Canis lupus familiaris: one gene and its partner. The protein of the gene in region 1 purifies or fractionates together with the protein of each later gene. This does not show direct contact. Links are inferred from orthologs where the notes say so. Each region holds a gene or a part of one and is shown on either strand. Other genes may lie near its edges.

Region 1 (3,821 bases):
TCTTCATCCCTTATCTCTGCCATGGTGCGTGCATTTGTGTGATTAAAAAAAAAACCTTTTTGCACTTTTTACTTGTATTTGGTGTTGCAGGTCAGTGACTTAGTATTTGCTGAATTAACTTGGATAAATGAAGTCTCTGCTTTTGAGAATCTAAGAAAGTTTCCTTCTCTGTTTCTGCTTAAAGAAAGATATGGAGATAGAATTAAAGTTTGAATTCAAATAATTATTTTGGTTCATTAGCTATTTCATTACAAGCTCATTTTAAATTATGAACCCAGATGCCTGGGTGGCTCAGTGGTTGAGTGGCTGCCTTCAGCACAGGGTGTGATTGCAGGGTCCCAGAATTGAGTCCCACATTGGGCTCCCTACGAGGAACTTGCTTCTCCCTCTGCCTGTGTCTCTGCATCTCTCTCTGTGTGTCTCATGAATAAATAAATAAAATGTATAAACATAAATAAATAAATCCATATTTGGAGGTAAATGGATATTCCAGAAGGCATTTTCCTTATTATAATCAGTACACTGTGTAACCGTTTTGTATGCATATATTTGTATGCTATATAGAAATCAGGGTTGTTTTTTTTTTTTAATATTTATGTATTTGATGGAAAGAGAGAGAAGGGGTGAGTACGAGTAAGAGGGCAGTGGAGGGAGAGGGAGAGAATCTCAAGGAGACTCCATGCTGAGTGCAGAGCCCTATGCTAGAGCCAAAATTCCTGAGCCAAAATCAGGAATTGGAAGTTTATTTTTTTTTAAGATTTTATTTATTTATTCATTCATGAGAAAGAGAGAGAGAGAGAGAGAGAGAGAGTGGGAGGGAGGTAGAGACACAGGCAGAGGGAGAAAACAGGCTCCATGAAGGAAGCCTGACGTGGGACTTGATCCCGGGACTCCAGGATCATGCCCTGGGCCGAAGGCAGCGCTAAAGCGCTGAGCCCCCTGGGCTGCCCAGGAGTTGGATGTTTAATTGACTATGCCCCCCAGGCACCCCAGAAATAAAGATTTTTTTTAAATACAGCATTGAAAAATGTCTTCATGTGCACAGAAGTTTTAATAAAGTAAAATACAACATTGCAGTGAATCTGTGGTACTCCTGTCTACTCTTTTTTTATTTTTTAAAATTTTAATGATACTCTATATTGTTCTTATAATATTTATGCTTAAGACACACAAAAGTATGGGAAATCATCATTTTCCCCCATCAGCATTGCTGAAGTTTTCATCTAGTCTCGCTGCCCCATGACTGTGTTCAGATAATGAAACCGTAAAGCCTGTTTTAATTGAATTTAACATGTAATGTTACAATCTATGCCTTGTAAGAATTTTTTTAATGTAAACATTTGATTTTATGTAGCCAGCTTTTAGGAGATTTTTATTTATTTTTTATTTTATTTATTTTTTGGAGATTTTTAATACTTTTTATACTATATTAGAAGCAGATTAGATAGTCATGTGTTATTTGGTAAATATTCTTTTGTGAATTCACCCTATAACTATAAATCTGGCCCTTTTTGATAGGCCTATTAATATTTAAAGAACATTAGAAAAGGAAGTTGACTTTTTCATTAAGAATGAAATTTGTCTTGGGATCCCTGGGCGGCGCAGCGGCTTGGCGCCTGCCTTTGGCCCAGGGCGCAATCCTGGAGACCCGGGATCGAATCCCACGTCGGGCTCCCGGTGCATGGAGCCTGCTTCTCCCTCTGCCTATGTCTCTGCCTCTCTCTCTCTCTGTGACTATCATAAATTAAAAAAAAAAAAAAAAAAAAAGAATGAAATTTGTCTTATATAGTCATGATTTTACATACTTAAATATGGATATATAGATAAAAAATGTATGTACTTGAATGTGTACACACACACACACACACACACACTCTTGCTTTCATACCAATTTAGTTTTTATGGCCCCTTTTGAAAAGTTGATCTAGTGGTTGTTTAAAAAAAAAAAAAGTGTATCTTTTTAGTAAGACTTTCATTTCCTTTTTTTTTTCCCCAGAAGATTTGGCTGTATATCCTTGATTTGAGCCACTGGATACTACCACCAGTATTCTATAATGAGAGTTAGATTTAGGGGTGAGAAAGCAGGTTCTAGATTAGAGCTAGTGAGCTTTTTTAAAGGCATGTAATTTGGCCCACTCACATGGATCTAGGAACTCAGGACCATAGAAGTTAGGGTTAATGCTCCTAGCTCTACCCAACTTGTGCTGGGGAGTTGGAGTAAATCATTTAATGTTTTTTCTATAAAACAGGGATGATTGTTCCTGTCCTTAACCCCCAGTGGTTCTGAACCAGTCACTACCTTGGAGAGGACACTGGGAAAAGTTTGGGGATACTTTTGTTTGTCATAATTGGGGAGCTGCTTACCTTTGGGACCCGAGTAACCAGGGATGCCAGTTGCCCTGCAGGGTGAGGCACAGTTACACAGGATAAGGAATTGTTCTTTATAGGCATTCAGAAACAACCTCTTGAGATACACTGGCCAGACCTGTGTGAGAATCACATGCAGCCGTGCACATGGAAGCACTTTGAACTACAGGACACGTGCTCAACAAAGAGAAGACCGTGTCCTGCTATACTACCCGGTTGATAAACTTTTCCTTTTCTCAGAGGTTATTTGGGAATAATACCTATCCTTTTAATAATATTTATTATGTTCCTTTTCAAGAGAAATTTGAATACTGTGGTCCTTTCTTTTAAGGGCAGTGTTGACTTTCCATTAGTATCACTTGACTATCATTATTTTTATTTACTTTTGGCTGTAAGAAGACTATTTCCAGGAGAATAGCAAATGTGATAAATGACACTCAGTGGACCACAGTATACAGAGCTGTTTCCTGTATTGAGACCGATTGTGAATGATGAGCCTTTTCCTGTCTCCTGCCTCCTCAGGCCCTGGTGGATCTTGTAAAGGAGGGGGGCTGATTGTTGTACTGTTTTGTTTCTCTTCTTCCCTGGCCTCTATTTCCTATAAATAGTTTCTTTCCTTCTTGTGTCTCTCTCTCTGGCTAAGAATATGGAGTCATTTTGTGGGGAGATATTTCTCTGGCCATTAACCGGCTTTTTAATTTCTGGAGACAAATGGGTCAGAGAAAAGGTTGTGACATTTCTATGTGACTTCATTAAGTTGTTGATATTCACTGAACTTTGGAAGAGGTTATATGTAGGTGATTTGGATAAAGAACTTGGAAGGTTATAGATTACATATACATGTTATATCAACCTTCATTTTTAAAAAAATTGTTAGCCAATGAGTAGTTTATTTTTCTCATTACTTCTAAGTCAGAGTTTTATATATGTGGTGTTGAGTCTAAGCAGAATCTTTTTTGTTTCAATTTTTTTTTAATGCAGCATCTTTTGAGAACTTGAGTGAAAACTATTTTTGAAATGATTTACCATTGTAAGTACTTTCAAATTACTGGAGAAATAATTCAGCAAAAAGAGGTGTTCAGTTACATAGTGAACTTGTTTACATAATGACATTGTTCACCTGTTTTATTTTTAAACAGAGACAAAGCATGGAGGACACAAAAATGGGAGGAAAGGAGGACTTTCTGGAAGTTCATTTTTCACATGGTTTATGGTCATTGCATTACTGGGAGTCTGGACATCAGTAGCTGTCGTCTGGTTTGATCTTGTTGATTATGAAGAAGTTTTAGGTAAGAATTTTGGTATCGTTTCTTAGGTGAATTTGTAAGCATGAAGGACATTCTTTAGTAATCTTAAGATTTATTATTTTGGGGGTACTCTTAATTTCTGTAGACTTTCAGTTCTCAATAGGGTAGGAACAAAAGAGAATGTTATTAGGGTTACCTGGGAGTAGT
Region 2 (3,821 bases), on another chromosome or scaffold:
TGCAGAGCGGTACTGTGCTAGGTGCTGCAAAAAACAGAGAATACCACAGAGTACTTGAGAGGCACTTGATCTTTTTGGGGAAATGGATGGTCATGCTGTGCTTTGACCACTCCTGTGAAAGGAGAACATAGGGTGCTGTGGGGGGACGGGCAGGGCCTCCTGTAACAATGTGGAGGATTGCCTGGGGGCGTGCACAGAGCATGAGGGAACACACTTATTCTTGTGCCTACTTTGTGCTAAGTCCTTGTATGTACACATCTCACTACTTACCAGCAGAAGTGCTGGGTGTTGGCTGCATCTCCATCAAGGTGGAAGAGCGGATGGCAGGTAGGGTCAGGGTTTACAGGCAGTTGCCTCTGCCTTGAAGGCTTCTGCATCATCATACCGAGATGTGAGCCCATGGCTTGAATGTTGTCCCTCTGGGTCCTAGGCGGAATTTTGTGGCCTCACACACCTGGTGAAGCTGGACCTGAGTAAGAATAAACTGCAGCAACTGCCGGCAGACTTTGGCCGTCTGGTCAACCTCCAGCACCTGGATCTCCTCAACAACAGGCTGGTGACCCTGCCTGTCAGCTTCGCTCAGCTCAAGGTAACAGTGTTTCGTCCTAGGGGGGTGGAGCCTGGTTGTGAGAGCGGCTGGCAGGAAGACCTCTCGTTGGTGCCACCTCAGAGGGATGGCTTTCCCTGCAGCTGGCACATGCAGGGGCTTTCTTCCTGCTCATTTTGTCTACCTTGAGGGACTCTGTGTGTGAACTTGGGCTTGAGCGGCCTCTCTGTCTTCTCTCTTCAGAGCCTGAAGTGGTTGGACCTAAAGGATAACCCCCTGGACCCTGCCCTGGCCAAAGTGGCTGGGGATTGCCTGGATGAGAAGCAGTGTAAGCAGTGTGCTAACAAGGTATGCACGGAGCTCCCCAGCATCCCCTCTGCATGGTCCCCTGGGACTCATGTCTGCCTCCTCTTGCTTTTCCCTCCCAGGGCACCTGGAGCTGGGAGAGGTTTCCAGCACTAAGGTCTCAGTGAAATATGTCTACTCTGAGCCTGTCAGGCAGAGGGACCTTTGTCTCTGGGTTTACTTTACAAGAAGCAGAACGGTACTGGCTTCTCTACTGTAAAATTTTTATTTTCTAGAAACCAGGACCTTACCTAATCAATCCAACATTACACCATTGACAGTTCTTTCTTTTTTTAAAGATTGTTTATGGGACGCCTGAATGGTTCAGCGGTTAAGCACCTGCCCCTGGCTCAGGGTGTGATCCTGCAGTCTTAGGATTGAGTCCCACATCAGGCTCCCTGCCTGGAGCCTGCTTCTCCCTCTGCCTACATCTCTGCCTTTCTCTTTCTGTGTCTTTCATGAATAAATGAATAAAATCTTTAAGAAAAAGGATTATTTATTTATTCATGAGAGACAGATTGAGAGAGAGGCACAGAGACATAGGCAGAGGGTGAATCAGGCTCCATGCAGGGAGCCTGATGTGGGACTCGATCCTAGGACTCCAGGATCATGCCCTGAGCGGAAGACAGACACTTAACCGCTGAGCCACCCAGTCGTCCCTTGACAGTTCTTTAAATGGGACGAGAAGATTAGAGACTGTGGCCTTTCTGAGTCATGGTTATTATGACAAAGAAGTTTTGTTAATATTTGTAAGCTTATACCTGTAAGCAGACATATCCTAGGCAGATGGGACATGTGATTTCAGTCGAGTCGTCTGATGCAGGAGCGAGGAATAAAGGCAGTATGGAAGGCAGAAATTATCGGCAGCCCTAAAGGTGCCTCACACTGCTGCTCTCTCTCTCTCTCTCTCTCTCTAAATATTTTATTTTGAGAGAGAGAACATGCACGAGCAGCGAGGGACAGAGGCAGAGGGAGAGAACCCTAAGCAGGCGCCATGCCGAGGCTCAGTTATACAACCCTGAGATCATGACCTGAGCTGAAATCAAGAGTTGGACACTTGACCAATTAAGCCCCTCAGGTGCCCCATGCCTTGCACTGATTCCTTTTTTTTTTTTTTCCCTTGCACTGATTCTTAAGCATCTCTCAGATGCCAGCTACGGTCACTTTTTCCCTCCAGCTTTGGAACAGCTGAGCACCAGATGGCTTACTTGGCCATATTTAGGAGGCATGATGAACAGAAAGGACTTGAAATCCTTTCACTTTAAATGATAGAATTATTGGAAGTGAAATGTGGGCATGGTGGGTCTCTAGATGAATCTCAGGAATAATGGCCTTTCTTTTCATTAGTTCAGGGCGTCTTAGAAAGTCTCATCATGTATCTCACCCATTGTCACAGGAGACCAGGTACAAGGTCTGGGCAGCCAGGTAGCCACGGCAACAGCTGGCCTATAGCTGAGAACAGTACAAGTGATAAGTGAAGTCCTGGTGCTTTAGGAGTGATGTCTGTTCTGAAGAATAGCAGGAGCTGTCACCCACCACTCTTCCTTTGTCCTGCATGCTTTATGCTTCACCTCATGATCCTCATAACCCTGTGAAGTAGAGCTCACTTCCATTTCTCTGATATAAACGCTCACTGTGCACACAGATTTCATTTATCCGTTTATTCATTCAACTAATATGCTAAACTGTATGAAATTGCTGATGCTCCACAAAGATCATTTTTATTGAGCACAAAGATCAATAGCATATTGATAGCTATATATATTGATAGCAATAGCATATAGCTTCCAGACAGAGCACTAGGTAGGACACTGCATTGTGGGTATGGTAACTGAAGCCATGCTCCCTGGTTCCTCAGCCTAGTGTGGCCTCCCGTAGCACACTGAGGAGGCATAGTGGAGTGGCTTGGGCTGGCTAGAATGAGGTCACTTGTCCCCTGGGGTTAGTTTAACCCTCAACAGCTCTGACCTTGTATTGGTGCATGGGTCATTTGCAGTAACTGATAAGCTTCGTGCACAGTACAGCACCTTTTAAAAATAACTTGTTAGGGTCACCTGGGAGGTTCAATGGGTTAAGCGTTTGCCTTCGGCTCAGGTCATGATTGATCCCAGGGTATTGGGATCAAGCCCCACATTGGGCTTCCTTGTCGGTGGGGAGCCTGCTTCCCCCTCTCCCTCTGCTTGTGCTCTCTCACTCTCTTTGTCAAATAAGTAAATAAATAAAATCTTAAAAAATAAAAAGAATGGGCAGGCAGCCGAGGTGGCTCAGCGGTTTAGCGCCACCTTCGGCCCAGGGTGTGATCCTGGAGTCCCAGGATCGAGTCCCATGTCGAGCTCCTTGCATGGACCCTGCTTCTCCCTCTGCCCGTGTCTCTGCCTCTTTCTTTCTTTCTGTCTCTCATGAATAAATAAAAATCTTAAAAAAAAACATAAAATATTTTAAAAAAGAAATAACTTGTTAGCTGGACAGTATTTAACAAGTGCTTACTGTGTGTTGTGAACTGGGATAGGCAGAAAGAATTGGCCTTCAGGGGCTCCCAGTCCAGAGCAGAGGAATTGCTCCCATTTTTGAGCTTGCTGTGTTGTCAGATAACTCTTGATGCATTGGAGCACAGGAAATGGGATGTCTCTTAAGCCTCTGGGCTCTTTATTTAGCCACCTGTACACCCCTTAAAACCACCAGAATGGTTGGTGCTTAATATTTGGAGTTCAGAGTGAGACAGGGACTTTGAACTGGGGCCACCTCCCACCATCAGGCTTGACCTTCCAACAGATCCTGCACTCCTTTATTGAGTGGCCATTGTTTAGTGAGGGTGACTCCCTTCCGAGAAGTTGCAGCAGGTTCAAGGCCTGGATGGCCCATGACAGGGTTCCTCGTGGCTTCAAAGCAGGCTCTTGCAGGGAGCCCAGGAGGTTAAGTCACTTGCTAA

The links.
Region 2: the proteins of ASPH (region 1) and LRRC59 purify together in Homo sapiens (co-immunoprecipitation; 3 studies listed by BioGRID and IntAct, with this or other methods). This does not show direct contact. The link is inferred for Canis lupus familiaris from reciprocal best matches to the Homo sapiens genes ASPH and LRRC59.

What each region holds. Positions count from the first base shown.
Region 1 is NC_049250.1:12,482,976-12,486,796, reverse strand, and holds part of ASPH (aspartyl/asparaginyl beta-hydroxylase), read left to right. Parts: intron 1-3,506; coding exon 3,507-3,656; intron 3,657-3,821.
Region 2 is NC_049230.1:26,308,379-26,312,199, reverse strand, and holds part of LRRC59 (leucine-rich repeat-containing protein 59), read left to right. Parts: intron 1-430; coding exon 431-589; intron 590-790; coding exon 791-895; intron 896-3,821.